3 linked regions of the Sus scrofa genome follow. The protein of the gene in region 3 interacts with the protein of the main gene of each other region in a pairwise test. Links are inferred from orthologs where the notes say so. Each region holds a gene or a part of one and is shown on either strand. Other genes may lie near its edges.

Region 1 (4,425 bases), on a different chromosome or scaffold from region 3:
CTTTACATCCTCCAGGTGCCTGGGTCTTTCTCTCTATAGCTGCTGGGGGGCAGGGCAGGGGCTGGGGGGGCGGTTAAACAACATCTAAAGGAGGGGTTAGTTGTCCGCATAGGACATCTGGAATAAATGGAGAAAAAGGGAGCTTGGGGAAAATGGCAAAGAATTATTTTTACTCAAGTACATGGGAAATGTGAATTCTATCCCACTCCATCCCCCAAACTGGCATTTTAGGAATCTACACATTCTTAAACAGGAGGAAAATCAAATTGCAATAATGTAGAATATGAAGATCCACTGTGATTCCACATTAGAAACAACAACGATGGAATAAAACCCACAGGGATATGCGGCAGCGTAATTGTGACTTCATCTCCTTTGCCGACCTGGAGCTCTCCTTCACAGGAAGTGTCTATAGATGCCGGCTTAAAGTCATCTAAAGGGAAAGGGAAAAAAACATTTATCTACCAGGTTACTAATACTAAGCAAAGGCTTCTGGGGCATTTTCACTTAAGAATTGAAATTTTTTATGACTCAGATAAATGGAAAATACAAACCAGTTAGGAGTTTCTAAAAAAGTATTTCATTGTGGAAAACTTCTCATACACAAAAGCAGAGAGAACAATACAACGAGCTCCTGTGTACCACCACCCAGCTTCAATAATTACCAGCTCCAAGATAATCTTGTTGCAGCTATACCTCCACATACTTTTCCTCCCATCTCCACTGGATTATTTTGAAGAAAAAAAAAAGCTAGAATGTATATACTATTTTATTAAGCAAAGATATTCCCCTCTCTCAAGTGACAGATGAAAATTAATGCCTTATTCATAATGAATGTTTTACTAGGGTAATTACAAGGATCAAAAGCAACAGAGCACAGTTTTTAAATCCTGTGATTGTAAAACCCAATGTGAAAAATGAAAAGCTACAGCATCATATGCGCTGATTTCATTTTGCATAGGAACTGTCAACATTAGGATCTGCCACACTCAAGTTCCATAGCTTTAATAAGGACACGCCTATAGATGTTTGGGGATGACCGCTGAACTGTATTTCCAAAGGTTAATCCTGCCTGTGTCTCTGGATTGCAGTTAAAGCACAACCTGAACAGCACTCTTACTTTTAACACACATTTGCCTCAACCTGCAGGCCAGGTGCCTCTTTGAAGTATCTTTCTTAAGCTCCTCACTTTCCTTCACGCTACCAACAAATAACCTCCTCAGGAAATGACGCTCCCTCACATCCTCAATATCCTCCCTCAGAAAGGGCTGATCTGCTGTCAGTAGGAAGAAGAGGAATGACGGTGCAAGTGACCACATGAAGACAGAACATCATTATCTAACACACCCTCTTCCAAGGTGTTGAGTCACCTCTGAGAGTTCCTCTCAGAAAAACAAGTCTTAACCAGCATTAGGGCTACCAGGATGGGAAGCCAGGAGTTTGTGAATCAGAGAGATGCTCAGTCAGCCAAGTCTTTACTCAGGACACAGAGTAGAAGGGCCCTCCCTCAACAGAGTCTGTAATCAAGGAGAAAAAGGAGACCCAGCATAATGACTATTTTCACATTCCTTATGTCTGCTGCTTCTGCTTCCAAACATAGACCAAGCTGTAACTTATTCTTGGCTCACAAATTCCAATTTTATTCCTCACCCACAAGGGACATGGTCCCGAGGAAAAGTCGGGGTAGTCCAGGTAACCTCAAAGGCAGACGAAAAGCTGGCACGAAGAGATGGAGGAGGAAGACTGATGCGGCGCAGAGGGGAATGCGGTTTCTGATGTTTGCAGTGGGGATGAAGCGCGGCGTTAGGGCGGCCAGAACCAAAACATACGAGAAAAGTGAGGACAACAGAAGAAAATGGAATAGGAGAGAGTGGAGGCAGCTCCCAAGCAAACGGGAAAAATCTTTGAATCGTGGAGATCCCCTAGTGGGTCGTGGTGGAGTGGGGGGCCTAGGGAAACGAGCTGAACCCTGATGTGGACTCGGCAACCTTTAGGCAGCAAGAGGGGTAGGTTCGGCACGCGGGAGGGCTGGACCTGGCAGGAAAGGGGGCCAATGGTCTTTGGAAGACGTGTTTGGGACCACGAGGCAGAGGAACAGGAGGGAGGGACGAAAAGTCTTGTTTGGGAAGAGTGAACCGGGAAAAAGCAAAATGTCCCTGCGGATCCGGGGAGATAGGAAGGGAACTGATGCTGGCAGGCTCCCCGGGCTACGGGATCGAGGTCGGCCTGTGGCGGCTGCGGGATGCGGACTCACAGCGGATGGTGTGGAAGGAGGCCCGCGGCCGATTCTCGAAGCTCTCCCCAAGCCGCAGGCGGTGCTCCTCGCGGTCCAGCAGAGGGTTGGCCGTCCCGTTCATGGCCCCGCACGGGCCGCGCGCCCGCCCCGGCGCCCTCCTGGCGCGCCCGCGGCCGGAGCTGCCGGCGCCTGAGTTCGAGGGAGCAGCGCTCCCGGGACAGCACCCCGGGGCGAGCGGAGAACCGAGCCGGTGCCCACCTGCGGCTGGAAATAAGTCCTGGCGTGCGCGTCGGGGCGGGGGACAACTGTGAGGAAGCGGGGCCGCGGAACTTCCGGCGCCGGGGAGGGACTTCCGGTCTCGAAGCGGAAGTGGCGGGGGCGGTGCCATGGCAAAAAGACTCCGCTGGGAGAAGCCCAATGCGAGGTGCTGCAGACTGGTTTGTCCAGCCGCTGGGTTTTACCGCGGTGGCTCCCAAATTCTACTCACGCGGTTGGGCCTGGGTGAGGGCTTAGCGCGCCCGGCGCCACCCTCCAGGGGAACCTAGGAACTGAAGACTGGGCGCTGGCGCGCGGCGGTCTCGGTGAACAGGGCTCCTCACAAGCGCTCACAGGTGCTCGTGGCCGGGCGGCCAGGTTATCCCCGGTGTCCTGGAACCCCACACCACGCGTCCCTGGGTCTCTTCCTTCCCTTTGCGCGGACGACTGCGCGAGGGCCTCAGTTCCTGGAAAGCGACGCCCCTCTGCTTCGTGAAACTCTGCGACTGAGGCCTCCCAGGCTTAGCTCCGTGTTCCTTGGAAACGGTGACACTGCTTCTGTCTGTGAATTGACCACCCTTCTCCAGTACCGGCAGCTGTTAAGTCGCCCCTTTCACGGGCACCGAACATTGACGAGTATCTTCCCCCAAAGGTTTCTTAGTTCTTGGGAGTGACTCTGTTCTAAACTAAAGCGATTTATTATAATAGTTGACTTATTCAGGTTTGAATTAGAGTTCTATGCGTGAGAGCGCCCTGGCAGCTGAATGTCAGCCCTCTGTAGGCAAGGGCAGTGTCTGGGTCTTCTTTATGACCTCTTTTCTTATAGCGGGGCAGGGTTTTGTGTAGGGTCGGCCACTAGTAAACATTTGGTGAATTGAACTGTTTGGTGAAAAAACTGTGTTAGAACCACTAACTCAGCATCTTTAAAACTGTTCCAGAACCCCCAACCAGAATCTCATTCTTTTTTCCTGCAAAACACCCGACGTTGCCTGAGGCCTGAACCCAAAGAGAGGGGCCGCATCTGAGAAAACTCTGCCTGTGTAGTATCTGCTTGAATTTCTCGGGTTATTCGCGAAGGGAGAATATCCAGCAGTGTTAAATATATTACCATCAACTTAGGAGATGGCTTCTTTGCAAAGGAAAGGGCTGCAGGCAAGGGTTCTCAGCTCTGAAGAAGAGGAAAAACTGAAAAGAGACCAGGCTTTAGTGTCTGATTTTAAACAGCAAAAACTGGAAAAAGAGGCTCAGAAAAACTGGGACCTTTTTTACAAAAGAAATAGCACTAATTTCTTCAAAGATAGACACTGGACCACCAGAGAGTTTGAGGAGCTCAGATCTTGTAGAGAGGTAAACTAATATTACGCCTTATTTGAACTGTCTTTCATTAAGAATGTGTGGAAGAGGGGTGTTTTATTGCATTCTCACGGGCAGTGTGAGGTAGAGAATATATGAAGCCTGTCAAAACGCTTCATAAGTTTTTGTACCTTAGAAATACACTGTTGGAGTTCCCGTCGTGGCGCAGTGGTTAACGAATCCATGAGAAACCATGAGGTTGCGGGTTCGATACCTGCCCTTGCTCAGTGGGTTAACGATCCGGCGTTGCCGTGAGCTGTGGTGTAGGTCGCAGACGCGGCTCGGATCCCACATTGCTGTGGCTCTGGCGTAGGCCGGTGGCTACAGCTCCGATTCGACCCCTAGCCTGGGAACCTCCATATGCCTCAGGAGCAGCCCAAGAAATGGCAAAAAGACAAAAAAGAAAAAGAAATACACTTTTTATCTCAAGGAGTTTTAGCAGTTCCTGGGCTTTAGTGGGCATTTTCTGTTTCTTTAAAGTTAATCCCAAAGTGGTAAATATTAAATTCATACCAAATGGTTTCAATGATAGCTTCAAAATAATAATGATGATGAACATTTTGCCACAGCCCTTTTCTAGA
Region 2 (4,325 bases), on a different chromosome or scaffold from region 3:
ACTGTAAATTGCTGTCTTTCTTGTTCATTAAAGTAGCATACAACATCACCAAATAAGAAAAGAATGGCTGCCGCACAGGCAAAAATAGGATGTGTAAGGACCAAAGGCACACTATTCAGCTAGCCAAAGTGATAGCAAACTCTTTTTTCCCCCGCAAGCCCTTTCCCCATGAGAACAAAAGTTTATTAAGGAGAAAAGAAAAATAAACTAAATTTTTAATCTTCAAAAGTAAGTATTTGGAGACATCAAATAGTCATTTTTGAGCATCAATAGTTGCTTCAAAAATGTCAACTATTGTCATCTGGATAGTTCTGATTATATTTTTAAGATGTATCCAAATTAGATCTCTTGACTATTAGGGACATTTTTGGGTCAAAATTATTTATCACCTAAAACATTTTACTTTAATTCCAAACATTTTAACCACTAGTATGACAACAGGGTTTTAGTTCTCTGAGGAATTAGCCAGTGGAAGGAAAAACACACAAATGAAACAAAATCCTATATTTAAGCTGCAGGCAACAATTATGGCCCTTTCTGGCACAGTAGCATTTGACTGGCAACTCAAAAGTCCGGGAATAACTCTAACACAGGGAAATTCATGCATTTTGGTAAATATGCCCTAACATTCACAGTTGAAGTTTCCTTTAGACCTTGCTTTTTTCAATAGGGACATCTTGCTTTATTTTTTTTCTTGATATTATCCTGACTTGTGACTTGAACCTGACTTCTTTTTCTTCTTCTTACTATGTTTTTTGTGCTGTTTCTTCTTCTTCTTCTTTGCTTTTTCTGTTGCTTTTTCTCGATCGTCACGTTTCCTTTTCTTCTTTGCTTGCATCTCCTCTTCATAATCTGATTCTGATGAGAGCTCTGATGATAAAGGTTTATCTTCAGGATAAGTCTTCTTTCTTTTTTTGCTGAGACTTTTAATATACTTTTCTTTCTCTGTTTCATCCTTTGACTTCTTCTTTTTTACAGATTCCTTGCTCTCTGATTCAGATTCACATGTAGAGCTTTCTGATGATTTGTATGCACGGTTCTTTTTTTTCTTTCTCTTTTTTCCTTGTTTCTTCTCCTCATCCTCAGAATCTGAAGAACTGCTTGAAGAATCAGAGCTTGATGAAGAAGACGACGAAGACTGACAAGATTTCTTCTTTTTCTTTTTCTTTCTTTCCCTTTTCTTGGATGAGCTCTCGTTTCCACTTAATAACTTCTCTCTGCTTTTTTCTAGTTCTTTCTTCCAATTCTCATTCATTTTTTCTTCAAATTCAGCTAATGCCTTGGAGCCTTTCTTTTTATTTTCTAATTGTTTCTTCACTTCTTCCCAGGTCGGCCTCGGTCGATTCAGATAATCTTGTATTGTTGGGCCTGCAGATTGCGAGGGGCCCCGCCATCTGGCCATTGCTATAGGATTCATATAAGCTACACGATTATCCCGCTTCCCCATGGTGCCTGATGGTTCCCAGAGCAGACTCTCAGTTGTTAAAGAGAATAAAGATAGACACCCTCCTTAAATTCTTCATCTGCTGGTATAACAAGTAGGCTCCATTCTGTGAGAGAAGCAGATGGAATGATTAAAAAACATCTTTAATATAAGACAAAGTAAGCACATAAGTTTAATTGTTCACTGTCTATCACACAGTATAGTAGAAAGATTTCCAAAATCTTAGAGAAAAGATAATACACAATTTTTGCCTATTTTAGACATTGTGGTATGAATATAATATAAAGTGTTTTTTATACCTCATGTGAGGTTCTATTATCTAAATATTTAAATAACTACTTCCTTTTGCATTGTATGATATTTACCTTTTTTTTCTTTCTTTCATTCTGCCTAATATGGTATAAAGAGAGAAAAATTTCTATAGCTAAATTCTGTAGCAAGCAGACCTTTTCCATCTTAAGAAAGTACATCATAAAGCATTCCACTCTTTGATAGTAACCTAGGAGTCATACCTGAACAATCCTTCACCCTCAACTCTCACATCCAATTCATTACTAAATCCTGCTGTTTAAACTCACCACAATAATAGATCTCATGTCTGTTCACTTCTATCCATATATGTTGTCATCAACATAGTCCAGGTACTGTCATCTCTCATTTGGCCTATTAATCTCTAGTATCTATTAAGGGTTTATTATATGCCAGGGAGTCCTTAGTGTTGTGCAGTAGATTATGTGATTCAGTCTCAAGACTTATTCTTTGAGGTTGGTCCTATTATTACCCCTATTACACAGATGAAGAAACAGAGGCTTAGAGGTTTTGAATAACTTGTGTAACATAATAAATGGCATATGGCAAAACCAGGCTTCAAATCAAGGCAGCCTAATGTCAAAACCTACACACCTAACACAACGCTCTATTGCCTCCTTACATCAACTTCTTAATTGATAGCCCTATTTTACCCATTCTGTCTTCCATTCCAGTCCCACATTGAAATCAGAAGGATCTTAAAATGTTCCAGTAGCTTTACATTTTAATGAGAATCAAATACAAACTCCTATAAAGGTCCTTTTTGGTGGATCCTCTTACTTTCATCTAGAGTTATTTACCCCTTTTCTCAACTCTATCTTTTCTGATCTTCTCTTTGATTCGGGAACGTGTAAGCTCCAGGCCAGTTTCACCTCATTTTCAGGTCTCATTTTAAATGCCAGTTTTTCTGAAAGGTAACTATTAGGTCAAACTATATAAAATCACCAATTATATAGGACAAAAAGAGTCAAATACCAACAATTTCATATGGTTCAACCTTATATCAAAGTATGTTACCTCTGTAGCTCTCTCTCATACTCATTATTTTGTACCACAGTTCCTTGTTTCTTTTATTCACAGCACTTAGAAAATCAATAATTATTTTATACATCTATGTGGATATGTGTGTATTTGTGTGTGTACATGTCTGTGTGTATGTATCCATCACTAAATATAAGGCCAAGAGGGTAAAGGTCATATTTGATTTGTCTTACAACACCATGGTTTTCTCAGGGCCTAACATGGCATATGTCCCACACTAAGTACTCAATAAATATGTGCAAAATAATAAACAAATAAATGACTGTATTGATAACTCTGTGAGAGAGGGACATCCAGAGAAACCTCTTGGAGTTTGTGACGTCAGTATAGGGTTTTGAAGGATAAATAGGAGTTCACTCAGGAAATGGGGAAATGAAGGACATTCTAGGCAGAGGAAACAGTATGTAAAAAACCTGAGAGATCTGAAGGAGCACTATGTATTTAGTGTTGACGGAGCCTAAAGTGTTAAGAGGGAACTGGTAGGAGGTGAGGCTGCATATGAAGTAAGTAGCTTGACCATCAGGCCTTCTTAGGTTATTTTAACATTTTGGATTTTGTCTTAGAGTTGTTAGGAAGCTATCAAAGTTTGAAGAGAAAGATGATAGGACATATCACAGATTTTTCTGTCAGTCTCCGTCTTGACTCTGACCCTTTAAGTCAACCTAACATACTTACTCATCATAAGCTCAATGCCACAGATTTTACACTGATTCTTGGTAATAGTTTTCTGTGTTTGATTTGTTGTATTATCTTATTTTCCTTCCTCTTCAATTCTGCCCAGCTCCTCTTGGGTCTTTTTGTCATTTTCATTTTTAATGCTACTCTACAGATCTGTCAAATATCATTGTTTCCAAGACTTGAACATCAAAAGCCCTTAAGGACATAGTTCACATTAAACTTGCTGGTAGTTTCTGCAACTGTACATTTAGAATAGCATAATCCGGAGTTCCCGTCGTGGCGCAGTGGTTAACGAATCCGACTAGGAACCATGAGGTTGCGGGTTCGGTCCCTGCCCTTGCTCAGTGGGTTAACGATCCGGCGTTGCCGTGAGCTGTGGTGTAGGTTGCAGACGTGGCTCGGATCCTGCGTTGCTGTGGCTCTGGCATAGGCCGGTGGCTACAGCTCCGATTGGACCCCTAGCCTGGGAACCTCCATATGCCGCGGGAGTGGCCCAAAGAAAAAGCAAAAAGACAAAAAAAAAAAAAAAAAAAAAAAAAAAAGAATAGCATAATCCATTCTAATTTCAGCTCCTTGAGACCTAGTCCTGACATCATCTAGAAAGACAAGCAAAGACCAGTTCACAAAGGATTTGGATGTGCTATTGAGGTTGGAATTTATTCTAAGGGACTTAGAGTGAAGCTAATGGGGAAATATTGACTATTTTAAGCAGGAGAGTGATATGGTCACATCTGAAAATTTAAGAGAATTTCTTACAGCATGAAAGATGAAATGGAGGTAGGTAAGAATGAAGACAATGAGATTCATTCAAGTATTCATACAGATAAGAAATGAAAGAGTGTGAACTAAAATA
Region 3 (4,425 bases):
TGCCCACAGCTCTTGGTCTGGCCCTGACTCTGGCATTATTCTGTAACAGGGATGAGGACAGTCTAGTTCGTGCTTAGAAATGATTTTGTACATGAAGAGCAGAGTTTGAGGTTAGGCGGGTGAAAGTTTCAGTTTTGGTTCTGTCTCTTCCTGAGTAGAGCCCCAGCTAAACCTTATTTCCCTCAGCTATAAAACAGAGGAATACTGACTCTGCATCCAAGATGGCCAAGATACTAGGTTGAGCGAGAACCACAGGATATAGAATCTTTCTGTTTCAGAATTTTGTTTCCACATCTGGAAACCACCTCTAGGCTTGCCCATTCCCTCAGGTCCTGTATGGGGCACTTACAGAGATCTTTGACACAAGCGTACTGCTGGTTGCTGTAGAGTGGGGAGCTATAGGCCCGACGGAAACCAGGGGGCTGTAGGATGGGATGGGAGAAAGCATTAGAGATAACAAGGTAGAGCCCCAAACCCCACCTCTCCCATGAACGTCCACCCTTTCTTGGAGTAAAAGATAGGCTGAGGAAGAAAAAGCAGGGAAATGGATGGGATGCCTTGAGGAGGGACCGGCAAGGAGGTAGCGGGCAACATGTCCCCTCCCTTCTACTTTCTTGCTCCCCAGAGCCTACTCACGATCTTGCCGAAGCATCTCTGCATCTCCACGTAGGACTGACAGTGTTCGTGGATGTTAGTTTTGCAGTTCTTACAGCGAAGCCCAAATTTGTTGTTGACTTGGGAGATGGGGAGAACATTTGCGTGAGGTTCCTGATTGCCCTTTCCCTTCCTAACACTGCTGCTACTCTAGTTCTCAGGTCCCTTTTCAGTATAGGACCTGACACTCTCCATCTCTGCAGTAGTTTCTTAAAGCTAAATCTTGCCACAGCCTATCTGATGTACAAATACTCCTCTCCTAAATCCTTTCCCCTGCCCCCTGCCTTTGGCATCACACTCTCCACTTCCCTCTGTGACTCACGCACAATCATCCGGGCGCAGACGTCACAGAACTTGGGCTTCTTGAAGAAGTGATCTTTGAATTTGTGGGGCTTATCATTGACAAGCTTGGGAGGTTCTGGGAGTGGTTCTTCTTCCTCTTCCTCCTCTTCTTCCTCTTCCTCATAGATGTAGTAGATGGGCCCACCCCCAGCTCCCACTGCCTCCCCATTGGCCTGGGGCTCTGGGGGAAGCTCCATCTCCTTTGTCCCTGTAGACTCCTTCCTAAATAACTGCTTCAGCCGCTGTAGCTGAGGGAGGGAAGGAAGGAAGGAGGGAAGGAAGGAAACCCAGTGTTAAAGGAACTGTCTTGCTTTTTAGAGTAGGTCAGGCTGAAGCTAACTAGACATTCTTCAAGCTTGGGGCAAGGGGCACACCCCAGGATTAGGGGGTCCTGGGGCCTGTAGGTGCTAGCTAGCATTTGAACAATACATGAATCGTATACAAGTGAGATCAATTCAAGCAATTTTCTTCAAGACTGCAGTGGCTTCCCAGCTCCCCATACCCCATGGTCAAGGCCCAGACTCACCCCACTTTGCCGAGTCTCTCCTGGGAAGGAGGGCTTATGGGACTCCAGCACCTCCTTTTCTGTCATCCTGCAAGAGGTTGACCTCACTATGAAATCTAATCTCTGAATGACATTCTTCCCCCCTTGTTCCTGTCCCTTGCAGTAGGGTGGTCCTTGAAGGGGAGGCTTTGGGAGAAATTTGGTTAAACAGAGATTCTTTCACAGACAGGGGCAAGGAGCAGAAAGATTCCAGAAAGGCCCAGAGAAAAGCCCAACAGACAAAAGAACTTCCCTACCAACTCCTTAAACCAATGACCATCCTTCTATCCTGATGGGCAACCCCAGAGTTTACTGCCCTGAGACAGTGCACAAGGCTGTGTGGTTTAGGCATTTTCCTACAAGCACTTTGTTTCTCTTGGGAATCTGTGGGCTTTGGTTTTTATTTATTTATTTTTGTCTTTTTCTAGGGCTGCACTCGTGGCATAGGGAGGTTCCCAGGCTAGCGGTCTAATTAGAGCTGCAGCTGCCGGCCTACACCACAGCCGCAGCAATGCCGGCTCCTTACCCCACTGAGCAAGGCCAGGGATCAAACCCGCAACCTCATGGTTCCTAGTCGGATTCGTTAACCACTGAGCCATGATGGCAACTCCAAGGGAATCTGTGGGCTTTAGAAATGTGACACACACCTTCCCAGATCCCCTTTCAAGAGGTTTAATGTGCATGTCCACAAGTGCGCATAGAGGGATGGGCTGGGGACATTTGTTCTCTCCTACCTTTCTTGAGCTCAGGGGCCCGGTGCCTAGTTCCCTAGTTCCCAGCCTGCCTCAGGCTTCAGCTATTTTAAGTTTTCAGAGTAATATGAGACTTTCCTTCCCTTACTACTCTACTCCCCTGACCCCACCCCCACCCTACCCTTCAATCCTAACTCTTGTCCTGGAGTAGCTTAATAATTTCACTCCTAAAACCCAAACTACTCACAGACAATGAGAGAAATGAAGAAGCTGAATAGACTACGGATTGGGGAAGCTGGGGTGAGAAGTCCTGGAAACGCAAAGAGGATGAAGAGGCAACTTACGTTTGGGATTCCCTAAGTCAGTCCACAGTCTGTGGAGAAAAGAGGGAGCCCCTGGGGTCTTGATGGTGGTGCTGGGGGAGGACTGGTCCTCTTCCTTGGGGGCTAAGCCCCCCCAGTACCCTCTGTACTCACACCAGCTACCCAGACGGTATTTGTAGACCTCCTAGCCTCTCGCCTTGGTGTCAGAGCTGAAATGACAGGGCTGGAGGAAAGTGGACAGCTGAGCGACACAGCTGACACAGAGAAATTGGACACGAGGAGGTCTGGGCAGGGCTGGACCCTAACTCCTCCCATCCCCCCACACTGCTGTTGCTTGGTTTTTCATCCACGGTGTGCAGTTCAGCATTGGCTAAACTCAGGAGGGGACAGTGTCCATGCTGGACACTTGCGTGGCTGATTTTAGATGACTTACAAACAGCCTTATCCATCCCCTTTCCCCCAAGGTCTCAATACCTCCCCGATTCTCCCCTCCTTGAACCTGTTTTAGGAACTAGCCTTTGACTTCTTAGCCATTGTCTTCTTGTGGTCCCTGTCTTGTTTTTATACCCTCAAGCATCGATCTAGGCTCCAACAGTAAGAAAGCTTGGAAACTGGTCAAGAAAGGATAATTTGGATTTCCAGAGCTCAGCCAAACTAGATTGCCTTTTTTTTTTTTTTTTTTTTTTGGCCGTGCTCACGGCATGCATAAATTAATTCCCGGACCAGGAATTGAACCCATGTCACAGCAGCAACCAGAGCCATAGAAGTGATAATGCCGGGTCTTTAAACCACTGAGCCACTAGGGATCTCCTAGATGGCCTTCCTGCCCATGAGCAGTGGCTGCTATCTGGTAAGGCAGTGACGACACGCAGTATTGCTTTGTTCCCTCCAGCTGCCCCCAGAGATCTTTTCCCTATTTCTCTAAAGTCTTGTCCTCAGGGTGAAAGGAATTCTAAGAGCTATTTTAAAAAGTCAGGCTGGGACTTCCACCTGAGGGTCTCTGAGGGAGTGAGGGTCCAATGATCACAGAGATGGTTTCATTAACATTGCACAGAAGGCAAGAGTTGTCACATTGGGAGTTTTTATCATCTGTAAGTAAGTCTCCTTCCTCATGGGAGCTGCAAACTCTTGGAGACAGGATGGCCAAGCCTCACATTTCCTTCATCATTCTGACTCCCTGATTCCTTCTCTTTCTGATGATGTCCTGGCATATGAACTGATGGGTCAATGAGATAGTTGGCATTCTTTTTTTTGGAGGGGGGTCTTTTTAGGGCTGCACCTTCGGCATATGGAAATTCCCAGGCTAGAGTCAAATTGGAGCTGCAGCTGCCAGCCTATACCACACCACAGTCACAGCAACGTGGGATCCGAGCCTTGTCTGTGACCTACACCACAGCTTACAGCAACACCGGATCCTTTGACTCAATGAGTGGGTCCAGGGATGGAACCTGCATCCTCAGGGACATTAGCTGGGTTCATTACTGCTGAGCCACAACAGGAACTCTGATATCTGGCATTCTTTTTTTTTTTTTTTTTTTTTTTTTTTTGTCTTTTTGCTATTTCTTGGGCCGCTCTCGCGGCATATGGAGGTTCCCAGGCTAGGGGTTGAATCGCAGCTGTAGCCACTGGCCTACACCAGAGCCACATCAACGCGGGATCCGAGCCGCGTCTGTAACCTACACCACAGCTCACAGCAACGCTGGATCGTTAACCCACTGAGCAAGGGCAGGGACTAAACCTGCAACCTCATGGTTCCTAGTCGGATTCTTTAACCACTGCGCCACGACGGGAACTCCATATCTGGCATTCTTATCTCCCAGGCAAGCAGGCTTTTCCTAGTCTGGGCTTGACATGGCTGAAAGAGGAGATA

What was found.
Region 1: the proteins of STAC3 (region 3) and EAF1 interact in binary tests that used the Homo sapiens proteins (3 or more experiments, as listed by UniProt). The two-hybrid records come from large-scale screens. The link is inferred for Sus scrofa from reciprocal best matches to the Homo sapiens genes STAC3 and EAF1.
Region 2: the proteins of STAC3 (region 3) and FAM133A interact in binary tests that used the Homo sapiens proteins (3 or more experiments, as listed by UniProt). The two-hybrid records come from large-scale screens. The link is inferred for Sus scrofa from reciprocal best matches to the Homo sapiens genes STAC3 and FAM133A.

Annotation. Positions count from the first base shown.
Region 1 is NC_010455.5:2,653,028-2,657,452, reverse strand, and holds the start of EAF1 (ELL-associated factor 1), read right to left. Parts: upstream 2,625-4,425; coding exon 2,255-2,624; intron 434-2,254; coding exon 339-433; intron 1-338. Other genes in the region: METTL6 (methyltransferase-like protein 6), read left to right, coding at 3,614-3,838. UniProt on the Homo sapiens protein: Acts as a transcriptional transactivator of ELL and ELL2 elongation activities.
Region 2 is NC_010461.5:76,176,204-76,180,528, reverse strand, and holds part of FAM133A (protein FAM133A), read right to left. Parts: intron 1,551-4,325; 5' UTR 1,448-1,550; coding exon 701-1,447; 3' UTR 1-700.
Region 3 is NC_010447.5:22,553,423-22,557,847, forward strand, and holds the start of STAC3 (SH3 and cysteine-rich domain-containing protein 3), read right to left. Parts: upstream 2,909-4,425; 5' UTR 2,577-2,908; intron 1,688-2,576; 5' UTR 1,589-1,687; coding exon 1,523-1,588; intron 1,245-1,522; coding exon 977-1,244; intron 735-976; coding exon 637-734; intron 423-636; coding exon 350-422; intron 1-349. UniProt on the Homo sapiens protein: Required for normal excitation-contraction coupling in skeletal muscle and for normal muscle contraction in response to membrane depolarization. Required for normal Ca(2+) release from the sarcplasmic reticulum, which ultimately leads to muscle contraction.